Stegostoma tigrinum: one gene and its partner. The protein of the gene in region 1 interacts with the protein of each later gene in a biochemical or structural test. Links are inferred from orthologs where the notes say so. Each region holds a gene or a part of one and is shown in the gene's direction. Other genes may lie near its edges.

Region 1 (7,758 bases):
TACAGCACAGTACAGGCCCTTTGGACCACGATGTTGTGCTGAACTTTTACTCTCGTCCAAAGATCGATCTAACCTCCAACCCTACCTTATTCTGTCACCTCCTGTCTCCCCATTACCTTTCCACCAACTACAAGGCCCAAGTCAAGACTATGATCAATCCACTTGGCTGGATGGTCATAGCACCAACACCACTTACGAAGCTCGAAACCAATCAGAACAAAGCACCTGCTTGAATTACATCACTTCCACATTCACTTCCTTCACCACTGATGCACAATGGCAGCAGTATGTACAATCCACAAGGTGCATTTGTTTTGGACCGGTGACATTGGCCACCCAAAAGCTCGGGGGCAACTGGTGCATCGGAAATTCACCATCTGCAAGTCCCCACCCAAGCCATACTCCAGACTGATCTGAAGCCAAATTTTAACTTTAGTCGTCTTTTACTGTTTAAATATTTGAATAGACACTTTCCTATTTGTTTTTATTTCCAGGTAATCTTTCATATTCTACATTCTCTCTTTAGTTCTTTTAAGTCACTTGTTGCTGGTTTTTACATTCAGGCCAATTTTCTGATTTGTCCATCTTCATGGAATTATATGCCTCTCCGTTCAACTTGATCATGTTTTTCTGTGACTACGATATTTAAATGGTTGCCACCTGATTCAAAGTTATATTAATACCCTTAGTTCCATGTTGCTTCTTCTGGATAACTGCCAAGATAAAGAACAGAGCTAGTACATTTACAGTCCAGTCACAGGACTGAGCACAGATTAATCTCATTTACAGGCCACTTTGTCAATGTACATCGACAAAGACAACAAATTTTTTTACTGCGCGTAGCAGCAATTTAAAGGGCAAATATAACATCGATATCACAAGGAAAACCATCACATTCAAAGCAGCTAGCCAACTAAGCAAGGATAGGTAAATGTTTCATACATTTGTGAACATATGAAGTAATAGCAGCAGGAGGGGTCCATTTGGTCCCTTGAATCTGCTATATTATTCGATCATGGCTTATCTAATCCTCGCCTCAAATTCACTTTCTTGCCTGTTTCCCAAAAACTTAGGTGGATATTGAAGAGAATACAGTTCATTTCTATCAAAAAACCCATCCACTTATTTCAGCTAGGGCAGCTGAGTGAGTAGCAGCTGATAACAGAATTCAGCTAACTGCCACAAAACTATTTTTAAAAGAATGACTACAAACTACTGGATTTCACCCATGTTTTGGCCAATACCTATCTCTCAAGCTACGTCTGTTCATCATTTCATTTCTGCTTCTGATCTCTCTCTCTCTCCCTCTATGCAACTTTCTCATTGCTAGAGAGTTGGAAGTTATGCCTTGATATCATGATGCACAGGCCCCAAGAATATCCTCAAATGGTAGGATAATGTTGGTGTGCCTCTGCACCATTCTCAAGCCATCGAAGCTAACTAGCCCATCTTATGGGTATTTACATTCACAAATTGGCTGCCGCAGTTTCTAACAACATCATTTCGACAGCAGAGTGGTGTAGTAGAAATGTGCTGAGTCCATAGTCCATCAAAATCATGCTCTACTAAGTGCTCCCGAGTTGTGATGGTAGCATCCAGACCTCTGTACCAGAAGGTCCTGGTTCAAATTCCACCTACGCATGGCATGTGTTCCAACATGCCCGAACAGTTGAATAAAAATATTTATTAGTACGGCACTTCTGAGATACTGGATTGATTGCTGAAGAAATACAATTTCTTCTTTCTGTTCTACTAACTTCACCAATATTCTGTTTCACCCAACTCAAAGTTGAGTAAATTTCAGAGTTTCTTTTCAGATCCTGTTGTATTCCTGCTACTTAAATCTGTAACTACCAAAATCATTTCCCGGAATCTAAATTCTCTTTAACTGTGACGGCCTTGAACACCAATGTCAAAGTCCACTCCCATTCTGACAAGTTTTATCATACTCAAAATATTAACTGTTTCTGCTTCCAGATACAGAGTCATAGAATCTTTCCAGTGTGGAAACAGGCAAATCGGCCCAACAAGTCCACACTGATCCTCTGAACAGCATCCCACCCAAACCCAGACCCAGACCCCCTACGCTGTAACCCTACATTTCCCATGGTTAATGCGCCTAACCGACATATCCATGAACACTATGGGTAATTCAGCACGGCCAATCCACTTAGCTTGCACAGAATAATACAGCATGAAAACAGGCCCTTTGTTTTAATTTGTCTGTGCGACCAAGTTTCCAAATTTAAACTAGACCCACTTGCCTGCATTTGGCCCATATCTCTCTAAACTTTTCTTATTCATGTGTGTCCCCAAATGTCTTTTAAAACATTCTAACTCTACCTGCATCTACCACTTCCTCTGGCAGTTTATTCAACATACAAACCACCAGCTGTGCAGAGAAGTTGTCCGTCAGGTCGCTTTTAAATCTTTCTCCTCTCATCTTAAAAATATGCCCCCTAGTTTTGAACTGCCTGACCCTAGGGGAAAGATCATTGCTATTCACCTTATCTAAGCCCCTCATGATTTTATAAACCTCTATCAACCTCCTACGCTTCAGGGAAAAAGTTCCCAGCCTATCGAGCCTTCCCTGTAACTCAAAGCCTCCAGTCCCAACAACATCCTGGTAAATCTTTTCTGAGCCCTCTCCACTTTAATAATATCCATCCTATTGCATGCCAACCACAAGTGTACACAGTCCTCCAAAAGTGGCCTCACCAACAGCCTCAACATGATGTCCCAACGCCTATAATCAATGGTCTGAGCAATGAAGGCAAGCTTGCTAAATGCCTTAACTATCTTGTCTGCCTATGATGCAAATTTCAAAGAATTATGTACCTGAACCCCTAGGTCAATCATGTTCTAAAACAGAACCCAGGGCCCTTGTTCATCTTACTGAAATGCAACACCTCACATTTATCCAAATTAAACTCCATTTGCCACTCCTCAGCCCATTGGCCCAATTGACGGAGATGCTTTTGTAATTTCAGATAACCTTCTTCAGTCGACTATACCACCAACTTTGGTGTCATCTCAAACTCACTAACCATGCCTCCTAAATATTCATCCAAATTATTTGTATAAATAACAAACAAAAGTGAACCCAGCACTGACCCCTGGAGGAGCACTGCTGGTCACAGGCCTCTAGTCCAAAAGTCAACCCCTCACCGCCATGCTCTGTGGCCTACCATCAAGTCAACATGCTGCCAGACCTGATATATTTCTCCAGGACTTTATTATTCCACTCTCATTCTGTTTCTCAGAAATGTACAAGGTAAACAATCTTTCATTATAACTGAGACATATAAGTTCATGAATCAACCTCACAGTCCTCTGCTAACGTATATAATGTTTCGAATGTGATGATAAGTGAACAAATTACTCTGAAGAGTCTCACCAGGACAAAATAAAACAATGTGACACCCTTATAAATCACATCATTTGGGGAAAACATGGGGATTTGCCTTCATCACTATCTGTAGAAAGTAAACAATTAATACAAGCAGTTTGAAAAATAAAAACATTTGCCTTTTTGAGGTTTTTTGTTTAGCCATGCAGAACCTACACATTAGATTGTCAGGCTAAATAACAAAACTTACATGATGCTACAACATTTATCTTGAAACTAAAGGCCAGGTACAAAAAAAAAGTCTCAAGAAACGTTGAGAATACTAATTATTGTTTCATGGGCAATTGTATACAACAAAAACGTTCTTGGAATACAACATTTTGCATTGATAATTTGAAACAAACGACATGGCGGCTGGTCGCTCAGTCGTTAGTATTGCTACTTCACAGCTCCAGGTCGAGAGTTCCATTCCACCCTCGGGCGACTGTGTTGAGTTCTCCCCCTGTCAGCGTGCGTTTCCTCCCACAGATGTGCAAATTAGGTAGATTAGCTATGCTGAATTGACCATAGTGTCCAGAGATATGTAAATTAAGCAGGCGGATTAGGCATGGGAAAGGCAGGATTACAGGGATGGGGTGGATGTTCTTTGGAGAATCGGTGTGGACTTGTTGGGCCGAATGGCCTGTCTCCACACTGCGGATATTCTACGACCAAGACAACAGTGTGGAGCTGGAGGGACAGGTCAGGTAGCATCAGAGGAGAAGGAAAGTTGACGTTTCGGATCGGGACCCTTTTTCAGAAATGACCTAAATACTTTGTGTACAAATAGAAACAGGATAGGGAAATACAATACTTACTACTATGGTCCTTACTCCATCCACTCTATTTAATCTTTTAAAACATATGCTTTAAAAATAGCACTAATAATTGCTTCAATACGGTTGGAGTAGTGAGCTTTTATAAAACCGAGAAAGGAGCAGCGGTGACAGGTGAAGTTAAATGTCTACCTTCAATTATAACTTAAGCGCCCATCACAGCCAAAGCGTCGTCACGGGCACGGAGTCAACCTAACCCGATGACACATCAACAGCAAGCACCGCCCACCTGCTCACACCCTGTTCGTTGCTTCCGGCAGGGCGACATGAACATGCGCGCTCTCTATGGTCACAACGGCTGTCACTCAAATGGGCCGCCACGCTGCGGAAAGCAACGAGTTAGGTCGAGGGGCAAGCAAGGCGGATTTTCCAGGGGGAGGAGCAGCTTCACAGGACGCTTGCCGATTGGATCACCCAGGGATGGACGGCGCCGCGTTCTTCGATAGGACGCTATTCCTGTCAGTCAACGAGTTTGCGGTGAGTCGTTTCCGTTTGGCTGCGCGGGCGCGTTGGGTAACGTACGGCTTGGGGGGGCGGGGAGAGAGAGAAAGGAGAAAGAGTGAGTGCGTTAGTTTCAGACACTAGGCAACGGGCGGAGAGACAGACGTAGACGCAAGAGAGAGAGAGGCGGCTCCTTGTCTCACCCACACCCAGTAGCCGGCAGATCGAAAGGATATCTCTACTCTTGGGGGGTGGTGAAGGCCGTGGAGCCGCCGCTGGGGAGCGACCCTCCGCCGGCGCTTTCCGAGATGAGGTAAGCTGCACGGTTTGTAGCTCCTGCAATGGCTCTCCCTACAGCCAAAGGATGACTGCCTCCTGTTATTTCAGGCACTGCTTGCTGCAGGCATGTCTCCCTTTAATACACACTGTGGTAACTCACCGCTGCTCAGCCTTGAGCAATCTGCCTTTTGAAACAGACGCTTTGCTGGCAGACCTTAAAAGTAAGAGGAAAGTCAGTTACCGTGGAGGGAGGTGCGGAGAGTTTGATGAGCTTATTTGCTGCATGTTGTAGTCGAAGTGAATTTTTTTTTCGTTAATTACCTGGCTTTTCGTTTGGACCATGCATTGATTAAGAGTAATGGGGGTGAAGATTATTTTATTCCCTTTGCCTCCCTTTCCCCTTTCTAGCTCCTCTGTTGCAGGGCGGATTGGTCACAGGGAGATGGGAATAATAAGTGTAATCTGATACAAGTGTTTTTGGATCATTACAAGAAAGGAGGGTCGTATTCGTTTTCTACCACATTACCGATCCTTGATATCAAGTGTATTATTTGCTACAGGACGTTTATTTTGTGAAATTGTGAAGAGTAGGGCTTGAAACCCCGAAGTATTGTAGATATTTCTGCCGTTTTAATGAAACATATGGAGCCACATTTAAATCAGACTACGAAAAATCCAAGCCTACTGTTTGATTTATGCTATTTGAAGATGAGGGAATAAACGAATGAAACAAGAGCATTAAAGGTTTGGATGGTTTCTAAATTCGCGGTCGGTTCGCGGCCATTCCAATACTTAAAAAAAATCTTTCATATGGTCTAAAACAGCCTGATCCTCTCTGTTAATGAAACACAATCTAAACGTTAGCAAAGCTAGCTGTTTGTTGAAATTTGGTAGTGATTGTCATTTTGAAGATGTTGTTTGTTTTCAGTGGAATCTGAAATTTTAACGTTGTATCGAATAGATTATAAATTATGAATTTTCAGCAAAATAGCCAACCACCTTGAGATTTTTGTAGAATGTAGAACAGTGGTCATTAATCATGGTGATGCAACTGACAATGTAACCTGGCAAGTCTTAGCAAATAATCAACTGTACAGTATGATTTATTCTATAGTAATATTTTGACTGAGTGGTAATGAAATTGGAAGATTTTGATGCAATGATTTCGAATAGATCTGTAATCAGATTATTTTGCATGTGATAACATTGTGTGCATGCTTATTTGCATGTAGTTATATTCAGTAAATTGCAAAAGAAAAGCTTTATCATGTTGGTAAAAAGGTTATGAAATCTAAACTTTGACATACAGTGTTCTGAGTTTTAACACAAAGATACTTGTTTCTAATAGTTCAAATAAAATTAATGTAGAGTGCACAAAACATTATTTTACAATTATGTTTTTAAGTGAGATTTTCAAGTGTTGTGTGAACCAAGTAAAGTTTCCCTAGGAATCTTGTGTTTTTTTTAAGTATTAATACTGAAAAATTCTTTCAGACCGTAAGTATAACAACAGAATTAGGCCATGTGGCCCGCTGAATCTGTTCCACCATTTGATCATGGCTGATGTGTTTCTCTTGCCCATTCTCCTGCTTTCTCCCCATACCTTTGATCCCCTTTCTGATCAAGAACCTATCTATCCCTGCCTTAAATAGACTTAAAATGACTTGGCCACCACAGCCTTCTGCAGCAATGTATTCCGCAGATTCACCAGTCTCTGTTTTGAAGAATTTCCTCCTCATCACAGTTCTAAAGGATCGTCCCTTAAGTCTGAGGCTGTGCCCTTCGGCTCCAGTTTCTCCTAATGGAAACATCATCTCAACGTTCACTCTATTCGGGTGTCTCAATATTCTGTAAGTTTCAATGAGATCCCACCTCATTTATATAAACTCCACGGTCCTCAACTGCTCTTCATATTGACAAGTTCTTCATCACGGGGATCATTTTGTAAACCAACTCTGGATCCTCTCCAAGGCCAGCATATCCAACCTTCCAAACAGGGCCCAAAGCTGTTCACTATTCCAAAAGTGGTCTGACCAGAGCCATCTGTAACCTCAGCAACACCCCTCTGCTCTTGTTTTCTCGCCGTCTTAAAATTAATACTAACATTGTGTTTGTCTTTCTAACTGCCAAGTGAACCTGCGTATTAATCTTCAGAGAATCCTGAAGTAGAATTCACACCCGTTTGTGTTTCAAATTTCTGAAGCATTTCCCCACACACAAATCCGTCTACGCCTCTATTGTTCCGACCAAATTGTGAGAGCTTGCACTTTCCCACATTGTCTTCCAGCTCTTGGCACTTACTCGCATTGATTTTGTAAACATCAGGAAGATAATCAAATCAGTTTTGGGCTGCACGGTGGCACAGGTTAACACCGCTGCCTCTCAGAGCCAGGGACCTGGGTTCAAGTACTGTCTCAGGCAACTGTCTGTGTGGAGTTTGCACATTTCTCTCTGACTGCACCGGTTTCCTTCCACAGTCCAAAGACACGCAGGTTACGTGATTGACTGTGCTGAATTGCCTTTTGTGTGCGGGGATGTGCAGGTTAGGTGGATTAGCCATGTGAAATAGGTTATAGGGGTCGGATAAAGGTGGGTCCGTGTGGATGGCCTGCTTCCACACTATAGGGATCCTATGATTTAATCCAAATCTTTGCGTATGAACTAAGTACAATTTTAAATTGCAAGTCCGAAAGCCAACTGAAAACATTTCAGTTAAATGCGAAGTTCCATCCTACTACTTGCAATGCTTAAGCACCACAATGATTTTACTAACCTTGCTTCACACATCGTTTTGTAGCCTTCATTTGCACAACT
Region 2 (6,926 bases), on another chromosome or scaffold:
ACTCTTTCTCTCTCTCACACCCGCGCTTGCTCACTGTCTCTCTCCCTCACATGCTTAGCTGTTTTGTTCTCTCTCTCACACACACACACACACACACTCTCTCTCTCACACGCACACCATGGTTTCACACACACTCTGGTTCAAAGGAGAGTGAAGGAGGATATGCCAGGAGCAGCACCAGGCGAATCTGAAGATGAACTGTCAAAAAAGCAGTCAGTGATAGACGTAACTAAGCGATCCCACAATGGTGGTGGGCAATTAAACAACTCACTGGACAAAGTGGCTCGCTATCCTCAGTGATGGATGAGCTCAGCACATCCTTGCAAAAGATAAAGTTGAAGCATTCACAGTAATCTTCACCCAGAAGTTCCGAGTGGATGATCCATCTTAGCCTCCTTCAGTGGTCCCCAGCATTTCTGATACCAGTCTTCAGCCAATTCGATTCACTCCAAGTGATATCAAAAAACGGTTGGACACACTGGATATTGCAAAGGCTACGGACCCTGACAATATTCCGAGAACAGTGCTGAAGACTTGTGCTCCAGAACTTGGCGCTTCCCGAGCCAAGCTGTTCCAGTACAATTACAATACTGGTATCTACCCGGCAATGTGGAAAATTGCCCAATTATGTCCTGTACACATAAGGCAGTACAAATCCAATCCGGCCAATTACTGCCCCATCAGTCTACTCTCAGTCATCAGTAAAGTAATGGAAGATGTCATCAACAGTGCTATCAAGCACCACCTGCTCAGCAATAACCTGCTCAGAGACGCCCAGTTTGGGTTCTGCCAGAGCCACTCAGGTCCTGACCTCATTACAGCCTTGGTTCAAACATGGGAAAAAGAGCTGAATTCCAGAGGTTAGGTGAGAGTGACAGCCCTTGATATCAAGACTGCATTCAACTGAATGTGGCATCAAGGAGCCCTGGCAAAACTGGAATCGATGTGTATCAGGGGGCAAACTCTCTGGTGGTTGGAGTCATATCTGACATATAGGAAGTTGGTTATGGTTGTTGGAGGTCAATCACTTCAGCTCCAGGACATCTCTGCAGGAATTCTTCAGGGTAGTGTCCTCAGCCCAACCATCTTCAGCTGCTTCATCAGCAATCTTCCCTCCATCAGAAGCTCAGAAGTGGGTATGTTCGCCAATGATTGCACAATGTTCAGCACCATTCGTGACTCCTCGGATACTGAAGCAGTCAGTGTTCAAATGCAACGAGATCTGGACAACATCCAGGCTTGGGCTGACAATTGGGAAGTGACATTCGTGCTGCACAAGTGCCAGGCTATGATCATCACCAATAAGAAACAATCTAACAACCACCCCTTGATATTCAATGTGTTCCCATCAGTGAATCCCCCACTATCAACATCTTGGGGGTTATCATTGACCAGAAACTCAACTGGACTCACCACAAAAGCACTTTGGTTACAAGAGCAGGCCAGAAGCTAGGAATACTGTGGCAAATAACTCACCTCCTGACCCTTCAAAGCCTGTCCACCATCTACAAGACACAAGTCAGGAGTGTGATGGAATACTCCCACTTGCCTGGATGAGTGCAGCCCTAGCAACACTCAAAAAGCTTGACACCATCCAGGGCAAAGCAGCTTGCTTGATTGGCACGACATCCACAAGCATCCACTCCTTCCACCAGTGATGCTCAGTAGTACAAGATGCACTGCAGAAATTCACCCAAGATCCTCAGACAGCACCTTCCAAACCCACGACCACTTCCATCTCGAAAGACAAGGGCATACGGGAACATCACCACCTCTAAGTTACCCCCAAAGCCACTCACCATTCTGGCTTGGAAATATATTGCTGTTCCTTTCCCATTGGTGGGTCAAGATCCTGCAGTTCCCTCCCTAATAGCATTGTGGGTGATCTTACAGCAGGTGGACTGCAGTGGTTCAAGAAAGCAGCTCACCACCACCTTCTCAAGGGCAACTAAGGATGGGCAAGATATGCTGGCCAACCAGCGACACCCACATCCCACAAATGAATAGAAAAATATTACATATACATGTTCGTCAAAGAAAACCTTCTAACTGATTAGAGACTTAACAGCATCTTAGGTTTAGGTTTGCTTAATACATGCTCATCAGTTGTGTGACCTTTGATGTTTTATTTATAAATTCTGTGTCTGATGACACCTCTCTCACTAATGCCTGAAGGAAGAGTGAGGCTCAGAAAACTTGTGTTTTCAAATAAACCTGTTTGACTATAACCTGATGTTGTGTGATTTTTGACCTTGTCCACTGTGGTCCAACACTGGCCCCTCCACATCACTGTACAGCCATACATGCCATCCCACTTCCTCCACGCAATGCTCTGACCAATGAAGGGAAATGCCTTCTTCACTGGACTCAAAGATAACACAGTATGGAGCTGGAGGAACACGGCAGGCCAGGCAGCAACACAGGAACAGGAAGGTTGACGTTTTGGGTCTGGACCCTTCACCCTGTCTTCTTTACCACCCCGATGCCACTTTCAAAGAACTAGGTACCTGCACCCCTCGGTCTTGCTGTCTGACAATACTGCCCAATGCCCTGTCGTTAACTGTCTAAGTCCTGCTGGTTTGTTCTACCGAAATACAATACCTCGCATTTATTTACATTCAACCCTATGTCATTCCTGGCCCAGTTGAAAGATATCAGAGAAAATGGGAACTGCAGATGCTGGAGAATCCAAGACAACAAAATGTGAGGCTGGATGAACACAGCAGGCCAAGCAGCATCTCAGGAGCACAAAAGCTGACGTTTCGGGCCTAGACCCTTCATCAGAGAGGCCAGTTGAAAGATATCCCATTTTACTGTTAGATAATCTACACAATCGACTAAAGCATCAATTTTGGTGTTATCCACCAAACTCGGGTAACTGTGCCTCCTCTATTCTCATCCAAATCGTTTATAGTTCACTTAGTGGCTGCAGTACATACGTCAGGAAATGTTCTTTGACCATCCAAGCACACCTCCTCCCTTTACCGGGGTTGCGTCGCCTTCAATCGGTCAGATCATTTCAAAAAATAATAATTTCCTGAACGAAGTTAGAGAACATAACAACTCTCACGAGTCCCAGTGATATCGGGCCTATTTAGTATTTTCACATTTTTATTTCTTTAGTAAATCATTCCAAAGGATCGTTCACTCAGGAAACCCACACTCCGTAAAACTACGAACGTCAATAAGCTTGCTGCAATTGCAATGAAGGGTGAACTCTATTTCCCAGAATGCATGGTACACGGCAGCGTAAACAGGACGACCTTTCCTCCTGTTCCTTTTCCGTGTTGGGCTGAGAAAGAAAATGCGGCCCCCTGTCTATTCGGCCGCATGCGCAGACGTTTGAAGCTCTCAAGTTTGAAGAACACACGGGATATTTTTGTTATTTTATCGTTAGAAGGGGCGAGTTGTTCCTCCTTTTTAAAAATCTTCCCAGCCAGTATTTGACGCCCCGGACGTTGACTCTCAACATGTAATCGTGGGCGTTCACACCAGTGGATCGGTAGTTTCAAGACGGGTTGGATGGGGGGGGCGGGGGAACGAATCGAGATTTGTGTGTGTGTGTGTGTGTATGTATGTAGGTCAGCTGGCGACTAGCTCCCCCTCCTCGATCCAGGGTGACCGTTGAATTTTCGTCTCGAGATCGCGCCGTCTTTCTGTCGCACACCCCCCCCCGCCCCGACCTCGTCTCGAGCTCGAGCCGTTGGTTGGCTGCCGTGTCCAGTGTCTCTCCGTTGGCTTCGCAGCCGAATGGTGTCCCCGGCGTGCGAGAGAGGCGATCGGGAGTACCAGCGACGACAGCAAAAGGAGCTGTTGCGGGCAACAAAAAAGCGAAAGGGGGACAGTCACTTTGAAACTTTTGGGGAGGGGGAGGGGGGGGGAGGGGGAAGGGGTAGTGAGGGGTGCTCTGAGTATAAGAAGCGGTCGGCGAGCGCTTTAGAAGTCGGACAGGCAGTAGAAGGAGGAGGAAGGGAATCATTTCGAGATCGCTCCTAGGAGTGGCGATCGAAGAAGAAAACGTCCAATCTTCTTTCTGACTGGAAAAAGGCTGCGGGTGCGCGTCCGGGGGCCGGAGGCTGCACCATGCAGCAGCCACAACAACAGTACGATTTCTTCAGTGAGGACAATGCACCCAAATGGCGCGGTCTACTCGTCGTTGCTCTGCGGAAGGTAAAAGCTACTTTGAAGATCTAGTATGTGCTTATATTTAAATAATCAATTGATGAGATCTATTGTAGTTTTTAGAAAAGAAATTCGAGGCTTAGCTTAGCGAACTATCGACTTGATGTTTTGATATTTTCTAACATCATTGAAAGATGCTAAAATGCTTTTTACAAGCATGTGTATTAAATCGGTTAAATATTTCGGTAGTAGGAACGGGGAACTGTTTTGAAAGGAGAATGTCGTTTCCTCTGCCGCTGTGAACTGGTTCGCTAAATAGATTGTATGTTAATTTGGTGAATTTGGCTTTTTTGAATAGCGTACAGTAGGATTAGGTGATTCAGCTGATGTGACATGACATTTCCTTTCAGGAGCAACTTTTTGTGTGAGCATACCAGTTTTTGCTATTAGTAATCACAATTATTAGCTTTCGACTATCAAACCATAATTAAGTGAAGTTTTACCTGATATGTTGCGATCTTCCTTAGGGAGTTCTATTCCCCCCTTGTTATTGTGTTGCAAATTACTTTGGTGTCGGGGTATTTTGGAATCAATTGCGACAAGGTACATATTTATCATGTGGTTTTTATTGTGGGGTTTTGGACAGTGAACAGAATGGAAGTGAATGCGAGACTGAGATTTCAAGTTTCAAGCCTGTGTGTTTCTTTTAATGAAAGGTCCGATTTAAGGCAAATTGTGGACCTTATGATTCAAAAGGCAGCCTGATATCTGAAAAGGATTGTTGGGCAAATGAGATAAAATTGTGGCAGATACACTTTTTGTCAAGTAAATCTCAATTTTGAAAAAAATTGAAACGCCCAAATATAACATGCTAATTCTTTACTTTTCGGATAAGGTTTGATTTTATTTTAAATAAGAAAAAGGAACTGTGGATTTTGGAAATCAGAAACAAAAACCGAAATCGCTGGAAAAGCTCAACAGGTGTGGCAGTGAATGTGGAGAACAATCAGAGTTAACGTTTTGGTCCTGTGTCTCTTCCTCTGAACTGCTGAGCTTTTTGAGCAGTTTCTGTTTGGTGTTTTTAAATGATGGGTTGCCCTGACTCTCGTGGGGGTAGTTTGCATGATTTTTAAAAAATATTAGCATTGATAATATTATCAATGTAATTTCTAAAATATTCCAGCAATATATCTGACCTAAATCAGTGACTCAAAGTCTTTTCTGAATGGGGAACTCTTTTGGAAATACTGGATTAACTAAGCCAGATGAAGTGTGCATTGATTGTAGAAAGCAGTACCATAATTAATTGATACAGAAGTAAAGCATGAAGAAAATTTTAAATTATTGCATTACTGTGATCGTAGTACCTGATTATCCTGGATTCCAGGTGGATGAGAATTTGATTTGGTTCTCTGACATTCAAGAACCTCTTGTGGATCTCAGGACTGATGAATAAGTGGCATGACTTGTATAAGTTTTTTCTTAAAAAGGCAAAGTTTTGGCTTATTAAACAATAGAACTTCAGTGCTGTAGCTGATGCTGCATGTGGCTGTACTTTGGGTTATGAACAATTGTAAGGAGGAATTCTCTTACCTGTCATATACAGTTTAGGCAAATGGGTTCCACGGTGTCCATTTTTGTCTTTCAACTAGCAATGAATATGCATGTTAATCATCTTGGAAGTGAATTACCAAATAGTTTCTGGAGCAACTGCCATTATTAATTTTGTAAATAATATATACGTTTTTAAAACATTTCTACTAGGATCCAAATACTTTAAAATTACAAATTTTTTTCTCACTTTTAGCTTTCTAACAGAAATTCTCTTTGAATTAAGATTTTTTGTTAGTCACTTGAGAGACATTGGTGTTGCTGACTGGCATTTTTGCCGGTTCATAATTGCCCTTGAGAAAGTGGTGGTGAACTGCTGCAGTCCATGTGCTGTAGGGTGACCAATAATGCCACAAGTGAGGGAATTTCAGGATTTTGACCCAGCAACAGTGAAGGAACAAATATATTTCCAAGTCATGATGATGAGTGTCTTGGAGGAGAACTTGCAGGTTATGGTGTTCCCGTGTAGCTGCTGCCCCTGTCCTTTCCAAGTGAAAGTGGTCGTGGGTTTGGAAAGTACTATGTAAGGATGTTTGCATTTCTGTAATGCATCTTGTAGATAGTAGCAACATTGTGTACTAAGTATCAGTGATGGAGGGAGTGGATGCTTGTGAATGTGGTGCCCATCAAACGTGCTGTTTTGGCCTGGATGGTGTCAAGTTTCTCAGTGTTGTTAGAGCTGCACCTGTCCAAGCTAATGAGGAGTATTCCATCACCATTTATGACTTGTGCCTTTGTAGATTGTGGGCAGGCTTCAGGAGAGTCAGGAGATGAGGAACTCTCCATAGTATTCCTGGCCCCTGACCTGCTCTCGTAGTCACTGTTTATGTGATGAGTACGAGAGCTTCTGGTCAGTGCAAACAACAAGATGTTGACAGTTGGAGATTCAGTAATAGTGAATGTCAAAGGACAGTTTTGGCTAGTATCTTATTGGAGATGGTCATTGCCTGGCATTTGTGTGGCACAAATGTTACTTGTCAGCCTAAGTTTGGATATTGTCCAGATCTTGTTGCATTTGAATGTAGACTGCTTCACTATCTGAGGAGTTGTAAATGGTGCTGAACATTGTGCAGTCATCGGTGAACATCCCCACTTCTGACCTTTTATGATGAAAGAAAAGTCATTGAAGCAGCTGAAGATGGTTGGGCTGAGGACACTACCATGAGCAACTTTTGCAGAGATGTTCTGGAGCT

Evidence for each region.
Region 2: the proteins of itsn1 (region 1) and son of sevenless homolog 1 form a complex in vitro, tested with the Homo sapiens proteins (2 studies listed by BioGRID, with this or other methods). The link is inferred for Stegostoma tigrinum from reciprocal best matches to the Homo sapiens genes ITSN1 and SOS1.

What each region holds. Positions count from the first base shown.
Region 1 is NC_081365.1:20,945,395-20,953,152, forward strand, and holds the start of itsn1 (intersectin-1), read left to right. Parts: upstream 1-4,734; 5' UTR 4,735-4,978; intron 4,979-5,088; exon of another isoform or gene 5,089-5,165; intron 5,166-7,758. UniProt on the Homo sapiens protein: Adapter protein that provides a link between the endocytic membrane traffic and the actin assembly machinery. Acts as a guanine nucleotide exchange factor (GEF) for CDC42, and thereby stimulates actin nucleation mediated by WASL and the ARP2/3 complex.
Region 2 is NC_081362.1:21,098,965-21,105,890, reverse strand, and holds the start of son of sevenless homolog 1, read left to right. Parts: upstream 1-3,912; 5' UTR 3,913-4,083; coding exon 4,084-4,170; intron 4,171-6,926.